Linked DNA regions of Nothobranchius furzeri. The main gene of each other region encodes a partner of the protein of the gene in region 2 in a complex. Links are inferred from orthologs where the notes say so. Each region holds a gene or a part of one and is shown on either strand. Other genes may lie near its edges.

The links.
Region 1: strap (region 2) and gemin2 share a complex: the UniProt entries of both Homo sapiens proteins name them as parts of the SMN-Sm complex. The link is inferred for Nothobranchius furzeri from reciprocal best matches to the Homo sapiens genes STRAP and GEMIN2.

Annotation. Positions count from the first base shown.
Region 1 is NC_091758.1:40,478,166-40,489,059, reverse strand, and holds gemin2 (gem-associated protein 2), read left to right. Parts: upstream 1-5,935; 5' UTR 5,936-6,056; coding exon 6,057-6,178; intron 6,179-6,255; coding exon 6,256-6,337; intron 6,338-6,435; coding exon 6,436-6,525; intron 6,526-6,631; coding exon 6,632-6,718; intron 6,719-6,876; coding exon 6,877-6,993; intron 6,994-7,235; coding exon 7,236-7,280; intron 7,281-7,351; coding exon 7,352-7,420; intron 7,421-9,569; coding exon 9,570-9,680; intron 9,681-9,763; coding exon 9,764-9,822; intron 9,823-9,920; coding exon 9,921-9,960; 3' UTR 9,961-10,081; downstream 10,082-10,894. Other genes in the region: mia2 (cTAGE family member 5), read right to left, coding at 1-244. UniProt on the Homo sapiens protein: The SMN complex catalyzes the assembly of small nuclear ribonucleoproteins (snRNPs), the building blocks of the spliceosome, and thereby plays an important role in the splicing of cellular pre-mRNAs.
Region 2 is NC_091741.1:63,714,108-63,725,133, forward strand, and holds the start of strap (serine-threonine kinase receptor-associated protein), read left to right. Parts: upstream 1-3,824; 5' UTR 3,825-4,119; coding exon 4,120-4,231; intron 4,232-5,584; coding exon 5,585-5,720; intron 5,721-6,528; coding exon 6,529-6,610; intron 6,611-6,873; coding exon 6,874-6,946; intron 6,947-7,185; coding exon 7,186-7,285; intron 7,286-7,403; coding exon 7,404-7,541; intron 7,542-10,625; coding exon 10,626-10,762; intron 10,763-11,026. Other genes in the region: cog5 (conserved oligomeric Golgi complex subunit 5), read right to left, coding at 1,697-1,736. UniProt on the Homo sapiens protein: The SMN complex catalyzes the assembly of small nuclear ribonucleoproteins (snRNPs), the building blocks of the spliceosome, and thereby plays an important role in the splicing of cellular pre-mRNAs.

The DNA.
Region 1 (10,894 bases), on a different chromosome or scaffold from region 2:
TTTCACACTCAGGATCTCCACAGATCTTGTAGTCAGACAATAATCCCACACTCAAGCGAGGCACAAACAGACAAACTACGACCGTAACCCACACAAACTGATCAGCAAGTGAAACACCCATTTTGGGTGTTTTAACAGGAGTGGTGAGAGAGAAACTGTCCATGAAAAGGCAAGAATAGAGAGCCGTGCTGGCGAGTGGACATTGCCTTTGTGCTGCCGCTGCTGTCATGAAACCCAACAGCATGAGACGGCAGAGATAAGATACACGTCCAGCGTGCAGATAATCATTAACATCCTGCTTGTATCTGCTCGCTGGTCAAAGGTTCGGGTTTCACTCTAAAGCGTCACTCAGAAAATTCTAAAAGTCACATTTGGCTGCATTTAGAAAGAAAAAATTTGGTTTTTGTGGACGAAAGGTAGAACATCTCTGTGGACTTAGAACTTTGACAGGCTTGTTGGTGCCTAAAAATGTGGATACCAAAAATGGATCATGCTTATGAAGTCACTGCAGGACATGTACCACTTGGCAAGCCGTTTAGACATATATTAAGACAGGCTGGATATGTATTCTGGATTTCTACAAATCTATTGTTTCTGGTAAAAATAAACATCCCGGATATCCATAACATACTAACCAAAATGAAAACTGTGGCAAACCTTTAAAACATTTAATCAACAATCGGACCTCTTTGTAATTCCCATTTTAATAAAGAAAGAAAGAAGGAAAACAATTTTATTTAGCGCCTCTCAAGATAAAAATCACGAGGTGCTTCACAGAACAAAAAATTCAAATATAAAAACGATTTATTAAAAAATTAAAAAAATATATTTAAACTGAGAAAAAAATTGTGATTAAAAATAGGGAAGGGGAGAGAGAAAATGAATAGGAAAGAGGGAAATCAGTGGACCCCGGGAGAAAGAGCAGAACAAGGAGAGGTTGGTGATGAAAGTCATGCAAAAGTTAACTTGAACAAGTGAGCTTTCAGCTGCTTTTTAAACCCCAAAACATTGCTTTACTTTCTTTTTTTTTTTTGTATTTCTCCTCCAACCCTCATAACTCTCTGTGTGTCCTTCTACGGCAAGCCCGAAGTCCAACAGACATCGATAACAACACAATAGCCTCCCGGTCCTCTGGTTTATTGTACTTGAAGGTCCGACATGTTGCTACCAGACGTAGCGTGAGCAGTCAGGTCGCAGGAAGTCGTACAGTTTGAGTTGGAGCTGAATGCTACGAGTGAAAAAGTCGCACATTGTATACCTGGCTATAGAGATCAACGACTCCATGGTGGGGTAGGAAGGAGGGTATTCATGGGTAGTTTCTGCTCGTTAAGGAGCAAGTCACCCCTACCAGAGTCTTACTCCTCTCCCACTTCCTGTTTGAAAAATGCAACAAATGCTGTCGCCTGGCAGGCCAACAGGGCGGTGCCGCTAACAAACACACGCACACTCAGGCCCACAACAACATTGTGACATCATAATGTACCAGCTAACTTCACGTGTATCCCTTAGCCAATAGCAATGGCAGATGTAAATTCAAATGCAGTGCAGAGTTTTTACATGAAGACGGCACAACACTGTCAGTTTTAGGCAGAATATTAACATTTTGACTAAGATGCACTAAAGTGCCAAATTATTGGCTACACGTGTCTGCAGCACGATTAAACACTCATTTATTTGGTTTATCAGCAAAAAAAAAAAAAAAAAAAGATGATTTGGGGTGACTTGCTCAGCTAATTTATAAACTTGACTCTCCCATATTCCAGTCAGAGCTAACAAAGCTCTTCGGATGTCCAGGTGCCTTCATTTGAAACCCTGGGACAACCATGACCTGGATTATGGCTGTGCGTTACCGTGGCAACGAATCTTCGCCATGTCGATGGGTTGAACAAATAATAACATCAGCTACGCAGAGGCTCTGAAAAGGGCTCAGAATGGAAAGGATGAGGAAAGAAAAGTTCAAACAAAGTCGCCATCTGATTTTGTGCAAATACAGGAACCTCACGCAGGATTGACAGCAGAGGAGATGATTTTGTTTACGGCGTATGTCATAAACTGTACGGATCAAGTGAAGCACAAAACAGAGAAAATAAAAATGATTGTGAAAGGAGCAGAGAGGTTTTTTGGCATTAAAGACGTTTCGTGGGAACATGTCATTAAAAGACTTGGGGAGGAAGGGAAAGCGGGAGGTCCTGGTGACAGGACAGCATGATTATAATGGAATGCCAGAAGTTTGATTGCAAATGGACAGGAATTTAAGGGATTTATCGATAAATGCAAAATAAAACCAGAAATAGTATGTTTTCAGGAGACATGGCTAAAACCTAATTTAGATTTTGTTATTGCAGGTTATGATTGTATCCGTAGAGACAGAAGGGAAGGTAACGGTGGAGGGTGTATAACTTTAGTGAAACAAGGAACTCAGTATAGACCTGTACATGTAGGATCTCAGCTAGAATACATAGTAATTGAAGTCTGGTCCAGTGATTGTAATATTAAAGTAATCCATTTTTATAATCCAGGCAACAGAATATTGAATATAGGTGAACAGTTAGAGGGAAAAGTTATTTGGTGTGGGGACTTCAATGCACACAGTTCCTTGTGGGGCAATAGCAATGACAGGAATGGGGCAGTTATTGAGGAACTGATGGAATCAAAAAATTATGTTTGTTTGAATGATGGAAGTGGTACGAGAATAAATATTAGAGCTGGTACAGAATCGGCGATTGACCTCACATTAGTGTCAGATTCATTAGCAGGTTTTTGTTCATGGCGGGTAATTAAAGAAACAACTATTGGTAGTGACCATCATCCCTTACTGACTGAACTTGAGATGAATATAGAACAATGTGATACAGGAATTGTACAAAATTGGTGTTTTGGTAAGGCAGATTGGGAAAAATTTAAAATTATTTGTGACCAGGAAATGGAAAAAATAGATATGAATGTTGATGTTGAAGCATTGAATTTTTCTGTTTGTAATGCAGTTTTGAAGGCTGCAAATCAGGCAATAAAGAAGAAAGAAGATAGTACCCTGGTGGACAACGGATTGTGATGAAGTTATTAAGGATCGAAGTAAAGCTTTTAAAAATTTAAGGAGGAATCAAAGTTTTGTTAATTATATGGAATACAAAAAAGTACAGGCTAAGGTAAGACGAACTGTTAAAATTGCAAAGAAAGAGTATTGGAGGGGCTTTTGTAATTCAGCGGGGAGGGAGACAAAATTACAAAATGTTTGGTCGATGATTAAGAGAATGAATGGCATAAGAAAAGAGTATGGATATCCAATATTAAACGATGGTGAAGTAACAGCAGTAAAAGACGAAGAGAAGGCAAATTTGTTAGCTAAGACATTTGTTAAAATTCATTGTTTAGATAGTGTTAGTGAAGAAGGTCAAAGAGGCAGGGAAAATACGTCTCTGGAACATATAGAGTTATTGGAACAGGATGAAGATACTGATAACTTGTTAAATATTTTATTTACAAAATCGGAATTAAATCGAGTTTTACAAAAATCCAAGGTATCAGCACCAGGAAAAGATCAGATTTGTTCTATTATGATACACCATTTTAGTACTAAAGCTAAAGAAATTTTATTGGAACTATGTAATAGAGTTTGGGAGGGTGGGGTATTGCCACAAAGCTGGAAGGAAGCAGTGGTTGTACCCATACCTAAACCAGGAAAAGATAATACCGATCCAGGAAACTATAGACCTATAGCGTTAACATCTAATATTTGTAAGATAATGGAGTGCATGATAAATGAAAGATTATTGTACTACATTGAAAGTAAGGGTTACTTGTCTAACTATCAGAGTGGTTTTAGAAAAGGAAGAAATACGATGGATCCTGTTTTGTGTTTGGAACATGAAGTTAGGAGGGCACAAATAAACAAAGAGAGTGTAGTTGTTGTCTTTTTTGATATTGAAAAGGCTTACGATACAATGTGGAGAGAAGGCCTTTTAATTAAGATCAAACAAATGGGTATTGATGGATGAATGTTTAAATGGATCAAGAACTTTTTAATGGGACGACAAATTCAAGTGAGAATTGGGAAGATTTTGTCTGAAAAGTTTCCCGTGAAAAATGGTACACCGCAAGGTAGTATCGTGAGCCCATTATTATTTTCTATAATGATAAATGATGTTTTTAATGGTATAAAAGATGGGATGGGGTTTTCACTTTTTGCAGACGATGGGGCAGTATGGTATAGAGGGAAAAACGTAGAGTTTATTGTAAAGAAACTTCAAGCAGCAATGGGCAAGGTGGAGGAATGGTCGTACAAATGGGGTTTTAAATTCTCGGTAGATAAAACTAAGACGATGTTCTTTACAAGGAAAAAAGTAAGAGAGGATCTTAAACTTGAATGATATAGTCAAGAGTTAGAAAGGGTACATAAATTTCAATTCTTGGGTGTATGGTTTGATGAAAGGTTAACTTGGGGTGTACATATTCAGAGTATAATGGATAAGAGTAAAAGGGTTCTAAATATAATGAGGTGTTTAGTTGGGAGTGAATGGGGTGCAGACAGGAAATCTATGAAGGCCATATATAATGGATTGATCAGATCAGTATTAGATTATGGGTGTGTGGCATATAATTCAGCAGCAAAAACTACTCTTTCAAAATTAAATTCTATCCAGAATCAGGCACAGAGACTCTGTACTGGAGCATTTAAAACAACCCCAATAGCAGCGTTACAGGTAGAGACGGGTGAGATGCCAATAGCAATCAGACGAGAACGAATAGCTTTAAATTATTGGGCAAATCTTCAGGGTCAGGAAGAAGATCATCCAACACGAGACATACCAAAACCTTGCTGGGAGAAAGAAAAGAAGGAAACAACAAGTTTTGGATGGGTGATGATCAAAAAACCAGTAGAACTTAAATGAGATCGGTTTACAATCAGTCAAAGAGTTCCATTACCTGCTGTTCCGCCATGGATTCTTCCTGAGGCGTCTGTTGATTTATCATTATTAGAGAGAAAGAATATGGATAAGTCTTTCATACTAAACTCACATACAGCACAGGATTATATCGATCACTATTATAACTATGTAAAAATTTATACAGATTCTCGCAATCCTGTTAGCAGTTCGATGGGTGGAAGAAAACAGACCATTATTCTCAGTTATTTGTTCAGACTCCAGCTCATCATTAACCAGTTTAACGTGCAGCCATTCAGGAAGCAGACCAGACATACTCCTAGAGATTCAGCAAACACTTTATAGAATAAACACGATGGGACTTAAAGTACATTTTTTATGGATTCCAGCTCGTTGTGGAATCAGTGGAAATGAAGGAGTCGATAAGATGGCTAAGGAAGCTACAATAAATACTTCGGTTCAGTTAGATGTTCGATTTTGTCAGAAAGAGATGAAGAGCATAAAAAGGCGAGAAATGAAGAAAAAATGGCAAAAACAATGGGAGGAGGAAAGGAGGGGAAGATGGTTGTATAAAATTCAAAGAAGAGTAGGAGAAATAAGAAACACTGGAAGGAGTAGGAGAGAGGCGGTGATCATTTCTAGACTGAGGTTTGGACATACTGGGTTAAACAATACGTTATTCATGATGGGGAAACATAATACAGGGAAATGCGATTATTGTGGAGAAGAAGAAACTATAGTTCATGTTATATTACAATGTCGGAAGTATCAGGCAGGAAGAAGGACATTGATTCAAAATCTTAGACAGATCAAAGTGAAACTAGACCGACAGAATTCAAAAAGCGACTGTTTTCTGATTTTATTTCAGTTTTTAAAAGAGATAAGGATGTTTGGGAGAATTTGATGTATATATGTATTTGTATATATATGTGTATGTATGTGTGTGTATATATATGTATTTTTTTGTTCTTTCTTTCCCGTGTTTGATTTTGTTTTATGAGCGCTGTTCCAGACCACACTCCACACCAGTTGGTGGCGGTAATGCACCATTCGTTGTTCGCCAACCGCCAATAAAACACCAGAAGAAGAAGAAGATGGCGACTGTGCTGTAGTGAAACTTGCGTGTTTTTCATTACCTGATTCGGTTCCGCTGTTCTTTTACTTTATTAGAACATGAAGTCGGACGTGGAGGAGTTAATGCCGAGGCTCCTGCCGCTGGAGACCGGAGGCGGGAGCGGAAACCTGGACTTGAGTGGAACCCCCAGAAACCCCCAGGAGTACCTCCGACAGGTCCAGTATGTTCGAGCCGAACCGTCTCGAGAATCAGAACCATGTTCGACCACGGAGCTTTATAAGTTTGGTGTTTCATTAGGTTGGAGGCCTCTTTATGCCCGGAGGTGGTCGTTGCTCAGATCGATCCCACAAAACTGAAGAAGCAAACTGTTAATGTGTCGGTAAGTGACACACACACACACACACACACACACACACACACACACACACACACACACACACACACACACACCACATGTTTAACATGTTTTGGTTCCAGGTAGCAGGATGTCATGCTGCTCCTCAGGGCTTCTCCCCCAGCCTCAGGTGGCAACAGCAGCAAGTCAGTAACTTCTCTGACGTCAGACAGGTGAGACTTCACAGTAACACACGTTACGAACATGTCCACACAGTAACACACGTTACGAACATGTCCACACAGTAACACACGTTACGAACATGTCCACACTGGACAGTGTCCTTTAGTCACTTTTGTTTCTCAGAGCATCACCAAGAACAGGCAACACTGGAGGAGCCAAATTCTGGATGACAACGTGCAGATGGTGAGATTTTTATTCACTACTCAAACCGAAATCAGCATTCTTTCAAGGGGAGACAGAAATCCCATGTTAAGGTGGATTTGAAGCACCTGTAAGAATCTTGTCATGCAGCATCACACTGGAGGTTTGGTTTATGCAAGCTTGACGCTGGTGTCTTACAGCCGAGGCTGACCGATGAGGAGGGCTGGAAGAGGTTTTGTTTAGGGGAGAACGTTTATCAGGGAACTTCATCCGGCCCGACGGATGCACACCAAGAACCAGCATTGGACTACGGCAAGGTTATACAACTGTTTACACCTTATTGCCTTTGTGAGCGCTTACTCCTCAGAATGAGTTTACCTGATTTAAATCGATCAAAGCTGAGATGTTTCCACATTCTACTTCTCCCACAAAAGCAAACAATCTAAACAGATAAAGTGTATTTATTTAATCCTTTGATGATCCGCCACTCATGAAAATTCTGTGGCACCTTCATGAGACCAAGGAAGTGAAGTCTCACTGATGGTTTGTTTGGGTCTAGATTGGCTTCCCTCCCTTCCTGAGCATCGTAAGCAGACTAAACCAGGTAAACGGGGGTCTACGATGACATCCATGTTGTTTTTAGCCAGTTTAACAGTCTTAATATTTTTGTCTCAGTCCACAGTTCTCATGTTGTTAGATGTTCTGATCAGCTGGTTTGAAGAGCGAGAGTTTGTTCCACAGCTGGTGAGTTTGCTTCTCGTCTCCAGCTGGTTGACAACAAATCTAATGCTAGTGGAAATATAGTTTTTTAAATTTTCGCACGAAAATAAATTGTTAGAACTCCAGGGCCCTCATTCATCAAACAAACTTATGCACAGATCTGCACGTAGGAACAGTTTTACACACTGCATACATGTAGCGACATGAATGGCCATATTTGTGACCCAAAGGTCACACTTCCCCAGCTAGGTCACGCTGTCCTGGCTGAACTTCTGTCCACAGATTATCCATCACAGGAGACGCACAGTCTTCTAGAACCATCTTTAATCTGACTGCCTTTAATCTGTCTGCTGTTCCATCCTAAGATGAAGGACACTTCAAGATTTAAAATAATCATTTTTAATAAACTCTTTTCACTGTTTATTACAAGGTTCATAAATAATCATCACGGTTCATTATAAATGTATTTAATTACTGAAATGAATTATTATTCTTTGGTTAATAATTATTATTTATGATAATCAGTAATGTTTACCAGTGTAAAGAAGGTCATGTACACTTATACACACCATGCAGGACACTGAATTCAGGGTAAAGGTAACCACCTCACATGTCTTTGCTCCATAACCAAAGCTTTCTATCTCTGAGAGGGCGTGTTCTGAGTTTTAATAAAACCCAAAACTCCTCAGTTCAAGCTGACAGTTCTGAACCAACCAAAACCTCTCCGTGGCACGAGAGTCCCAGAGGACAAGGGTCGGCCGCCCGAAGCCTCCACTAAGCTGTTCTGTCACGCTGATAGAATCGCTCCGAATAAACGCCACCTGCACCAGCTGACACAAAACTCCTTCAGAGTTAAGACGCAAACTCAACACCTGTGTGCCAGCGGCAACTCTTGGACCAGAGAGTCGGTACCACTCGCGCCTTCCCTACCGGACCGAGTACCCAGAGGCTGACAACATCCTTCCTTGACCTCCGGATCCACACAGAGGGTCGCCTGATGGGTGAGGTAGAACACAGATTGCGTCTGATGCTGTCATCTCTAAGAAACAACTTAGTTAGCTGCAAAACAAACTCTTTCACCCAGAACGCGTTTCTCTCTGAAAGAAACCTTCTGAGATTCCAGTCACACATCCAACACACGCATTTCATTTTAGCTTTCATCCAGACACAGGTTTGCTTTTAATACCAAGTTTTAATATCAAAGCTGTTATAAATTGTCATCTTTAAATTGTTCGTTATAAATTCTTAACTTTTTAAACCTGACTCTTCTTTGAAATGAAACACAGAATGGTGTAAATTTGGTTATTGAACGAGCAAAGATTCCTTTAAATATTCCGATTTAATAAATAAACTTTTGCTATTAATTTAAATCTCTTAAATTAAATATTAATCTTTGGATTAAATATAGACCAAGCCCGTTGGTGTATGAACTTCTATCGATTATATAAATATCCTGGATATTTATACATAAGTTTCATTTGCTAATTTGTTTGATTTTTCTCAGCATTTAGCCAAGCTGATAGCAAACCGCGTTAAATTCTAGTATGTAGATTATCTACGCGACATAAAAATGTTCCTAAGTACAAGAACGTCTCTGTTCTTGTGTACAAACAGGACCGAGAAATCACAAAACCGAAGGTATTACTTATCTACGCGTTCCTAACAGCAACGTTTGGTCCTCACTCTCGTTAAAGTTACTTGTTGCTCGTTCTTGTGACCAAATATGGTTAACTGAGGGCGTTTCTGTATGTGAATGAACACACGGGCACCTGGGTGGGGTGGTGATGGAGACACCAGTGGCGCCAGCGTACGGCAGCCTTGCCTCTGTCTGTGTGACCCAGGGCAGCTGTAGCTACAATGTAGCTCATCACCATCAGTGTGTGAATGTTTCTGTGCACGAGTGAATGTCTGTTGTGTTGTAAAGCACCTTGGGGGGTTGTAAAACTCTAGAAGGTGCTATGTCAATTGCAGGCCATTCACGTGGGATTTCTCCACAGTGGGTTGCCAGGGAACACGAGTATGGCCGTGCTTCATAAATCAGGAGATTGTCCGTGTGAACCAACATTTCAAATATCATTCTTAGGACGGAATACAGGAGATTCTGTCGACGTTTGATGAATGAGGTTCCTGGTTTTCCTGATTATGAAATTCCTAACGCTGCTTTTCCCAAAAGGGTTGTTGGTTGTACGCTTTACTGGCCTGCTTAGAGAAACCGTTGCTGCCTGAAGCGCACTCCTCCATCCGACAGCTGGCTAGACGGTGCGCCCAGCTCCGCAGCACTCTGGTATGATGGAAACCCGAGTGTCCTTCAGGATTCTGACGGCGTATTTTATTGTGACGTCTGTAATGATTAAATTCTTCCAACAGGATTGTCAGGAGAATGAGAATCTGCCTGCTCTCAACCTACTCATCTGTCTGGTTGCTAGGTGACTCCAATAATGTCTACATTACCCATAAAATCAACAATGCAGCTGAAGTTAGAGCCTGAAATCCTGCGACTCACCACCTCTCGTTTTTCCTGCAGATACTTTGAGCAGAGTGATCTGGCAGACCAGCCGGAGTAAACACGAAGCCGAACCACCAGGGGATGTGGCTCGTGGCAGCAAGACTCGTATGAGGAAGTGTGTGTGTGATATTTTTGTAAAGCTGAAACTTCGTATTTGTGGATTAAATTTATGATTCTTATTCTTGGTTTGCTTTTGTGGTTTTACAAGCATCCTGAATGGCAGGAAACATGGAACTAGTGAAAACCAGTGTTGTGTTGGGAACGTCACTTTTAAAAAGTAATTATTTTGTCAAAAAAGTAACTAAGTTACTTACTGAGTTAAAAAATTATAAAAGTAACTAATTACCAACAAAAATAACTTTCATTACCTTTTTTCATTAAAGAATGCAAGAGAAATGGGTTCCCCTCTTAAACTTCATTTACTATAAATTTCAACAATAATGAAATATAAATGACTGGAACATAAAATGTTTTCTATAAAACAATAATTAAGCACTTAACAGGAGGAACGACAAACAGGAACATTACACTAATCCAGACTACTAAAACATCACTGCGATATTTAACAAGACCCTAATCAGCTAACATTTATAATTGCAAATAGAAGCACCTGTAAAGGTTCCTGAGCCTTTACATGGTCTCTCAGTCTAGTTAAATTACAGAAATGTAATTTTGCACAGTATTTTAATTTTTCCAGCTTAACATAATTGCGTATTTTTAGCAACATTTCTGCTGCTGCTAATTAGTAATGGTTAAATAAAAATCCTTTAAAATGACACTAGAAGAGGCACAAGCCTGATGGAGGACTTACATTTACTAACGTGGGTCAGACCCAACCACAGAAGAGCTGAAGCTGGGTGGTAAACACACACAGGTAGCTCTGATAACACCTGAGCTCCATGACGTCTCAGACTGATGCATCAGTGTTACAGCGGGACTAAAGACGTGATCAGAAACAGGTTACAGCTGGATGATCTAGGAAGGTAGAAGAT
Region 2 (11,026 bases):
CATGAGAATAATACTCGTAAAGCAACGTGTTTTAGCTCTGTTTGTCAGCTACAGAAGCACATTTATAAACAGAAAGGTGAAGTCGCCGTCTTAAACAGAACAGCGTTTTTGTGTGATACGCTTGTCGGCCACTAGATGGTGCCATTGGATAAGAGAAATACTCCAGAAGGAGGCTTTAAGGTGCTGTGTTAAACTGTCAAATAGAGCTTAAAGAACGAGTCACTCCCTACAAGAAACTTACTTCAATCCCACTTCATGTCTGAAAAATGCAACAAATGCTGTTGCCTGGCAGACAGAGAGGGCGGAGCCACTAACAAATACACACAAACAGGCACACAACAGCATTGTGACATCATAATGTACTAGGGCTGGGCGATATGGCCTAAAATTAATACGATATATTGAGGATTTCACCTCAATAACGATAAATGGACGATAACTACAGGAATGCGCAGAAACAAAAGTTGTCCACTAGATGGGGCTGTCACATGTATTAGTTGGGTCACATTTTACTGACTCAAGGCAGTAGAGCTTCTTAAAGCACAAGTCACCCCCACCAGAGTATTACTCCACTCCCACTTCCTGTTTGAAAAATGCAACAAAATGCTGTTGCCTAGCAGACCGAGAGGGCAGAGTCGCTAACAAATACACACACACACATACACAGGCTCACAACGACATTGTGACATCATATGGTACTAGCTAACATTCTAGGGTACGTCTTAGCCAATAGCGATGGCATATTTAAATTCAAACGCAGTGCAGTTTTTACCTGACAATGGCACAACACTGACAGTTTTAGGCAGAAAATTGTAATTGTAACTAAAATGCACTAAAGTGCTAAACTATTGACTACACGTGTCTGCAGCATGATTAGACACGCATTCATATAGTTTATCAGAAAAAAACTTGGTTTGGGGGGTGACTTGCCCTTTAAAGGGACATGAACGCTGCCAACCTACACACATTTTTTTATTATCAAATTTATTGACATAGGAAAAATTATCACGATAAGTCAGAAATTTTGATAACAATAAATTTTTGATTTATTTCCCAGCCCAATGTACTAGCTAACGTCATTGTGTACCTCTTAGCCAATAGTGATGGGAGATTTAAATTCAAATGTAGTGCAGAGTTTGCACAACACCCAGTTTTAGGCAGAATTTCACATTTTTAGGCAGAATATTTAAATTTTAACTTAGAGGCACTAAAGTGCCAAAATATTGATCACTCGTGTCTATAGCATGATTAGACACTCATTTATATAGTTTATCAGCAACAAACAGTTGATTTGGGGGTGACTTGCTCTAGCAGACCTGAAGACCAGAACTGGACACCACCAATGAGGACTAAACTCAACATCAACATGTAGCAGCCTGTTTGGTAACATGTTCTCATTGTTCACACAGATAGGTTTAATTAAACCACACACGTGCTGGTTATTTCGCCCGTTCTACTTCCTGTTGTAAATTTACTGAACATGTCTGACTTTAAAAAGCAAAGATGACAGAAACCCTCCATGTTCGCTGCTCCACGGTGCTGCTTCAAAAACAAATCCCTGAATCGTGAAACACGTCGTAATGGTGACATGAAGGAGGTTTAAACGTGTAGCAACTCAACGTAAACTAAACACTGAAGCATAGGTGCAACATTTGTTTTTAAGTGAGTCAGTTACTGCTGAAAAAACGTATTTTACCATCTTTTAGCAGGTTTGTGGACGCCTCTTGTTCCTCCATGTTGGCACTTCCTGATCAGACTTCTTCTGGTGAAATTGGAGCTCTTTCGCCGCTCAGAGGGCGGAGTGTGAACTGCTGCCACAACATCCGGGCACCGATTACACGCAGATCACAGGGATGCGCTACCACCAGCTCTGGGATCCAAATTTTCTGATAGAAAGCAAAAATCAACACTCACCCTCCTTCTACATTTGGTAAAAGAAAAAATTTACAATTGTAGGGTAGGACCCTAAAAGCTTATAGGTTTAATTGTGGATGTGTTCTATCTTTGGATTTATAGATAATTATTTGATTTTTTTAAATCTAATTCAGGATTTAGGGTTTAAATTTCATTTGTTTATTTTATCTTATTTTAGAAGGAATATATATATGGCTACCTCTGTGAATGACTGATTGTGTTGTAAAGCGCCTTGGGGGGTTCCAGGGCTCTAGAAGGCGCTATATCAAATACAGGCCATACCATTTGATTTAATCCCTTTTCTTCCCATCAAAATAAACAGAAACTAGTTTAAGTTATTAAACTGGATAGTAGGCTACATAGCACTTTTTTAAGGTCATAAAGCAGTGCTCTTCAACTCTTGTCCTCGATATCCAGCGTGTTTTTATTGTTTCACTGTGTGGCGATTGCATGTTTCTGTTGGACACTTGTAAAACAGTCCGGATATTGCAATGTAACTCTTAGAGACACTCACTTTTGAACTAGGGATACTAGCACCGAGTGGGAACCCCCCCCCCCCCCCCCCCCCCCCAAAAAAACTACTCTTGAGAGATAAGCTAATATTTATTAAACACATAAATAAACACACACACATCTGGGGAGGGATTTTCACAGACTCTGGCATTCTCCGTTCTCACACCTGAAAGTCGGTGAAGAACATCTGTTTTATTCTGCCAGACCCATAGGTGCTATACTCTTCTCCAAGGCCAGATTAATGCAGAAACAACTTTATTGTATTTATCTATTTGAACTAAATTAATTAATACACATGACCTGCTTAGAGGCTTGATGGTCTTCTGAACTGGTATCAGCCATCAAATCAGGTGTGCTGGAGCAGGGAAACAACTAAAACATGCTGGATGGAAGAGCTCCAGGACCAGAGATTGAGAGAGCACTGCCCTGAAGACACCAGGATGTAAATCATTTGATGATTAATCCATACGTGTTTCTATTTCTACAGTACAGAATATTGCTATTTTTACCTCCACAGACAATGTTATAAATGTGGCAGGGTGGAGAAATGAGGGCCCGGGCGGGATTTGATCCCCAGGCTCCTGGGTGAGAGTCACGCACTCATACCAGTCAGCCAAAAGGACATCCCCTATGTCAAGTAGCCAGGGCACATGATCAATCGTGACACTGTGACAGGACACTCACACTGTCACATACACTGATCCTTGAAATTAAAGTTTTTGAGACATAAACAGCAGACTGAATAAATACCTGATATAATGTAGTAGGTGGATTAGAACCAGACTGGGTTATTTTGTATTTAAAGTGTAAAATCTGGATCCAACAAGCTTATTATGGGTCTCTGACTTCATGGTTTTCTACTGTAGCCTGGCCTGCCATACTCCTCCTCTGTTTAATTCTGCACAGAGTCTGGCAGGCCAGGCTAGTCCTACTGTAGAAAAAAAATGAAATGGGGAATATGAAAAACTGATCAGACTGTTTATAATACCGGGAAAATATGATATATGTATTTTGAGAACTAATAATAATAATAATAATAATAATAATTATTATTATTATTATTATTATTATTACTGACTACATTAATGCATATTCTAATACTGCTGTGTCTAAACTTTATTTTTCCTGCCACTTTATTTCATTCCAAAGCAGCACAATTCATTCCTGCAATATTCCAATTTTAAATCCCAGTTTTCCAGACTACAGCTCAAACAGCTCCCACTCCTTCGCACAGTCATATATGTTCGCCAGAAGAACGGGAATGTTGTATCTCTGTCGAGAACTTTTAATCAGACTCAGCTTTCAGCTGTGTGCGCTTTACCAAATGACTCTGACAATATGGCGGCGACGGGTCGCACCGCACGCTTACGTTACGTCAACTCTTTTACTACACTGTCACTGTGACGCTGCAGTGCACGTTGCTAGTTAGTTGCAATGTTGTAGCTATTAGCACGACAGCCATTCTTTTGCTGGGGGAGAGCCGACATTTGGTCAGAATAACTTTGAATTCTCGGCTGTTAAAAGATTAATTAACAGACAACGGCAGGACGTTACAGCTTTGATAACAACGCGCCAATTAGACGTTTCGTATTCCTCGGCTACTGGTTAGCCGACCTAGCTTGTAAGCCAGCCGTTAGCGACCAGCTAACTCTTCCTCTTTCGGTCTTCTGTCCTCTGTCCAGCTGGAGGAGCATGGCGATGAGACAGACCCCTCTCACCTGCTCCGGTCACACCCGGCCTGTGGTGGACCTGGCTTTCAGTGGAATCACTCCTTTTGGCTACTTCCTCATCAGCGCCTGCAAAGGTGAGTCCTCAAGCCGTCCAAATCCAAGGTGCTGCCCTGCTCAGGATCTTCATTTACCTGTCTCACTCACACAGACTTCTCTCACTTTGGTCCCTGACTTACCTGCGCCTCAAAAGAAACTTTGTAACGATTTATTTCAGATGTCTTTTTTTATGAAAATCCTATCTGCATTACTTGAATCACCTCAGATGTGTTCAGTTCACGATCTGGTTTCATTCTTTGAAGAATCACATTTCTTTCACAACTTTATATAAATACAAATTTGTCATCGTGTAGGAGTTTTCCTCTGTGTTCACCTACTTGTTTCCAAGCAAAAAGTGGAGATAATTTTTACCTGAAAAATTCTCTTCCATTACAAAAAAAAAAAAAAAAAAACAGTAAAATCATCACCATTCGTCTTAGGCTTCCCTTTCTGTCAGAATAGCCATATGACCCTCACCAAGTGTTCTGTCAGGGAGTGAGGGAAACGGGAAGGTGAATACCATGGCGAAAGTAATAAGCTACTGATGGTTACCATGGTGCCCCTAATAAGCCTCTGCTAGCAGCTTTAACATTTGTTGAGTTTGGTCCTCTTTACACATTCTATATAATTTAAGGCAGTGGCTGTTTCTCAGTGCTTAAGAGGACACTGTCCTGCAAGGATTAAAGAAAACGGTTACATGGAACAGACTTATCTCACGTGACCCGCCATCACGTCATGTGACATGTGAGGTAAAGTTAGATTTATATATATGTATAACTAGCCTTTAACTTTTTTAAATTATGTATATATTGGTTAAATTAAATATGTAAGCAAGTTACTACCCGCTTGCCACCGAATCTGCAACTGCAAAGCAACTGACCAACCATAGATAATTGCTTTGAATCTAAAAAAATATTTCAGATATCAGCCTGATAGCTACAATTAGTTGACTTGCATTTAAACTGGAAATTTGCCCCTGAAGTAGCTGCCGGCTCCTGATCCGCCATTCATTTGAAAATACTGTGGTGTATTCTGAGAAATGTTTCAGTCAGAGAAGGCAACAAGACACCTCCCATGTATTCTCAGTCAGTTAGCTAAACGGCGGACAAACGAAGGACAGACGCCTCTGTAGCACATGAACATTGGAACACGTCTTGGCGGTTCCTGATGACGTATCTCTTAGGCAACTGGGCTGGGACCAAGGCATCAAGGCGAGGTTCCTTGACCTTGAGAAACACCCAGTTTCTCAGCTCAGATTAATACAAAACTGATTTTTAACATTTTACACCAGCTGCTTGAAAGCCACTCAATGTCTTGAGAAAGTTCATATTAATGATCTTTTCATGGGAGTTTTAACAAGTACATCACCATCCCCTTCTTCCTTTTGTTAGATGGCAAGCCCATGTTGCGCCAGGGAGACACAGGGGACTGGATCGGAACGTTTCTGGGTCACAAAGGTGCGGTTTGGGGAGCCACTCTGAATACAGACGCCACCAAGGCAGCCACAGCTGCTGCAGACTTCACAGCGTGAGTGGGGTTCAGCTCTCGATGTAGAGATGCATGATTTGAATTTTGTTGGAAAATGCACTTTTTTCTTGTTTTTAACACTCTTAAAACGTTTAGCTGTAAAAACAAGTTGTCTTTTATTAATAATATATTCTCTTTCTACTCCCCTTCACTCACACACTCTGCAAATGTGCGTTTGGACTCATTGAGATTGTTGGACATACATATTTCAAAAAGGAAGTAAACTGAACCACTGAAAAAGAATTTCACTATCCCATTTACCAGACAAATCATAGCTTCTTAACTTTTTTCTTGTTCTTTATGTGTTATCTTAGAAACCTCAAAACAGAAAAATACAGCAAGTCACTTGGTGCAAGTGGTGCACCTAGGTGAAAGAAGATCAACTGTTACAAAATGAAAAAAAAAATACAAGATCACTCACAATCTCCCTCAACCTTGGGCTCCATGCAAGATCTCACCTTGTGTCATAAAAATGATCTTGTTTTCAGAGTAACTCTTAATTTTAACATTTCAGGAAAAAAAAAAAACGTGTTTAAATCATGCTAAAATTCCCACCAGCAGCATCCTCAAAGTCCTGGTGAAGAAAAACGATCTGTTTTGCATGTGTTTTAAAAAAAAAGAAAACCAACCTTTCTTTGTTTCTGTTACGTGTTTTCTATTAAATGTTTAGTTTCATTTATTCGATAAACTACTATACATCTAGCCTAGAATCTAGAAGACAGTCATTTGTCGAAGCAAAATAATTGTGCATATAGGATGGCTTGCCAGGCTACTATAAATCTATAATGGTGAACATTTTGCTTTCCAGGAAGGTGTGGGATGCCGTAAGTGGAGACGAGGTCCTCTCACTGGCACACAAGCACATTGTGAAGTCTGTCAACTTCACTCAGGTCAGTTTTGCTTAGCATCAGCATCCTTCATATGTTAATTCAGGTATTTTACTGCTCATTTTTTTCACAGATGCCTTTGTACACCAACACCAAGATCAAAAAGTGGGAGCCTCCAGGGCTCACACCTATTTTTAGTTACCAAGTGAATAATTTGTTCAACACATGGATTAATCTGATGATTGATTAAACACATCTCCTCAGCTAATCATTGTTCACATCCTTACAAAATAAAACACTTGTGGGTTTCTTTTTCTATTCCACAGGACAGCAACTGTTTGCTAACAGCAGGAAATGACAAGCTGCTGCGTATTTATGACCTCAGCCAACCTGAAGCACGTAAGGCTACACACTGCTGGCTAGAAGGCGGGGCCAAACACTTCTGAACAGGTCATAGACATCAGATTGCTGTGTTTAGAGTTACTATGGGTTTTAATTAAAGAAATATGGTTTACACTAATCATAAACATTAGTGGAGTTACTTACCCACCCACTCAGTCACACACACACACGCACACCAAAAGAATACTAGATGTGAGCCAACACTTTTTCCTTTAACACTTGTGTGTTTGTTCCAGCTTCACAGGAGATTGCAGGTCACAGTGCAGCCATAAAGAAAGCTCTGTGGTGTAACAATGACAAGCAGATCCTTTCTGCTGCTGACGACAAAACCATTCGGTTAGTTTTTCTCCTGGATGCTTTGTAGAAATCTGATTTCTTTGTCCCGCTTTGGTGGCAGTTGTTCATGTTGACCTTCTGACAGTTTGGATCATATAAACTCTGTGTGTGTGCCCAGGCTGTGGGACAGGAGCTCCATGCAGGAGGTGAAGATGCTGACCTTTGAGACGTCTGTGAGCAGCATGGAGTACATGGCTGATGGGGAGTTGCTCGTGATCACCTATGGGAAGACGATAGCTTTTTACAATGCTTTGAGGTATGCAGTCAGATAGAGGTTGACTGATGTATTGGGTCAATATTTACCATTTGTAATACATCAGCATCAAGCAATATACCTTCTTAGTAAAGCCAATTTAGAAAGAAAGTAAGAAAACAATCTGTTATACAGTGCCTCTCAAGATAAAAATCGTGAAAAGCTTCACAAAAACACACAAAAAATTTAAGTGTTAAGTATAAAAAATATTTTAAAAAATGATTCAAAAAATGTTTAAAATGAGAAAAAAAATTGTGATTAAAAAAAGAAATGTAAGAAAAGGGAGAGAGAGAAAATCAATAGGAAAGAGGTAAATCAGTGGATCGCGGGAAAGGCAAAATTAGAGCAGAATAAGGAGAGGGTGGTGACAAAGGTCTTACAAAAGCCAGGTTATTACCCCTGAGGTAACCCTTTTCTAACCCAAATATCAGGTCATGTAAACTCATATCGGGATAACCCTTTCAAAAGGTGCGCTCTGCGCATGTTCTATTCACAAGGAATCTTGGTCTTTTGAGTAGATCAGGGGTCGGCAACCTTTTCCAATCAAAGAGCCATTATTACTTGTTTCCCACAATAAAGAAAACACTGGGAGCCACAGCGGCCGTGGCATTGTGGGCGTGCCTATCGGGCCTAAGCAGGTCAAACATGTCTCCTTTTAAAACATGTTTAAACTGCTCAGAATACAAATCCAGGCTCTGTCCCTTTGGATTGTTGTAATTAAACTTTGTACTGAACGAAACTTTATATTAAACAATGTTGAAAAGGATCTGATCAATTCGGTTTTTTTCCCCTCACTTACAGTGAAGGAGGTAACGGCACAGTGCACAAGACTCTGGTGTTAATCAAGTTTATTTGTTTCTCTTTGCAACAATCGTCGCAATAAGGCAAAACAGTTAAATGGCAGCGTTCACATTGACCGGATATTTCCCATATTTGACAGTTTATTTTAATGGAGAAACCTCAAGGCTGTTGGTCGCTTTGAAGGACACGTGCAGATGCACTGACATTTTAATCATTAAGCACATTGCCGAGGTAGCTAAATCGATTAAGAAAAGATTCCCATCAATTCAAAGATACTTTATTAATCCCAGAGGGAAATTAGAGTTTCAGTACACACAATTCAGAGATCAGACATGCATGGGCAAGACACATGACAAGAATTGGTGACTGGTCATTCGCAACCCTGAGTCACGCTACCTTAATAGAGATCAGAGGGTTACATGAGGATTGGTTCAGGTGGAGGGAAAAAAGGCACTTCAGACCTACACTCCACCGGGAGGGCAGCTTTGCTCTGCAAAAAAAAACACCTCAGACAGAAATGCAACAGACTTCAGACATCACACAGCATAAGTCCACTAGGTGGGGTGGTGGGTTTGGGACTATCCACACTTCAGTTCCTGCAGCCACTACAAGCAGCGCATGTCACCTCAGTGTGAACAGGGGGAGGAGCATTGAGGGTTGGAGGGTCGCAGTGACCCTGGAACGATTCGACGGCCTTCCCGCAGTCCCGCCCAGGCTGGGATAGGAGACAGAGTTGAGTTGTCATAGCGACGGCACATTCCACATATCTTCTGAGGGGGGAGTTTTCGTTGGAGCCTTGCAGGCTCAAGGGCACCATATTCCGATTAGAAATTGTTTTGGGGCCAGACAGAGAGAATTTCCTCTCTCTCTCTCTGTCTTACAGTTTGTTGGTCCTCAACCTCTCAAAATCCCAATAATGGACATTAATCTATCCCAATCCGTGCTGATTTGTCCACTCTATCCTTGATGGCATCCATCTTTTGTGCCAATGAATGAATCTCGGCCAAAGTTCCAAGCTTGTGATTCATCTCGACAATTATGTGAGTCTATGAATTCACAGCGTGGTGCAAACCATCTCTAAGCTCCGGGAGCAGGCCAGTATTCCTCGACAGCTCGTTAATTTTCCGGTAAGCCAGGTAGCCTCCAAGGCCAATGAGCAGGAAACCTGACACCAACACCACGAATATCCACACGTATCAGAGTCCTCCACAGACAGCTGAGATAAACAAATCAAGTTCCACTGTTTCCAGGAGTCCATGACGTGTCCAACTGGGTCTGTCCTGGAGGGGCATCCGGGAGCCCCTTCTCCCGTTCTCATCGTTGAACAAACTTTATCAATCGCGTTGAGAGACCAAGTGACGAGGTCCATTTTAGTGATTTCAGTTTCCAGAAAAAATGCAGAAGCAGCCGTGCACACAGAGACAAAGGGCCTTGAGGATAAGATATGGAGGAGAGGAGGAAAAAAGCGTCTGCACCCTCCGAGAACCGGAAGAAAAAGAACATCAGAACATCTGAGCATTCTACTGGACGCTGCTCAGTGCTGCTCGCTGTCAGCGTGCACATAAGGTGGACAGCAAGCTAAAGATGTCTGTCTGTAACAGGTGGCATTAAAAAAAGTATTTTCATCTCAACTTTTTTTTATTCACCAGTTTGAATATTTAATACTTGGCCAGGTAATTGATTTGTTTAACTTTAGTTAGATGTCTGATTTTAACACTGAGTGGTGCACAAATTCAAGATTTAACAGTTGGTTAAATTCAGTGTTCAAGAACTGATTCAGCTGCAGAAATTTTATGCATTAACTGATGTTATTGGTGACATTTTAGCATGAAAATAAGGTGGGAAGTGTCTAGATATCGGCCGTCGACTGACCATGACCTCTACATATCGGTAATGGCAATAGAGAAACCCACATTGGTCGACCTCTACTGTGAAACACTAAATACACGCACACAATGGAAACTAAACATCCATGACTATGTCTTTTAAAAAAGGATCTTTTAACTGCGAACACATCAGTATTTACCACCAACATCAGAGAAATGTTAAGAATTCTCTGAAGGGTCAAATTACTGTAAAAATATGTCTCTAATAAGTCTTTGATCTTCTGTTTCCACACCTCAGAATACCATACTAACCTCACGTTCAGCTAACATAGCTAACATGCCTCTGCTGCGCAGGGTTCTGTTTAAATAACTGGTTGTTTTTTTTAGTTTTTTTTTAAACATAATTAACTTGTTAGTCTTCTTGTCATCATTTCTGACTGGTTGTTTACTTGTTGTAAAGCCTGGAACTGATCAAGACCGTGGAGGCCCCGGCTCCCATCAACTCCGCCTCCCTCCATCCAGAGAAGGACTTCTTTGTTGCTGGTGGTGAAGACTTCAAACTCTACAAGTTTGACTACAGCACTAAGGAGGAGTTGGGTGAGGAGAAGCCTGTCCTTTTTTTGCCAGAATTCAATTAAATTCAATTCAATTCAAAAATACTTTATTAATCCCAGAGGGAAATTGATTGATGTAGTAGCTCAGAAGAACCTTTTCTCTTAAGTGTACTAACAGGTCAAATTATCATGCTGCTGTTTTTAAGTAAAACGTTTGAAGTACAAGTTAAACCAGTGCAAAAGTTTTGATATAAAATTCCTTCAAATGCTTCCAGTACATTTACCCTTATTTTTAGGCTTATTTCTG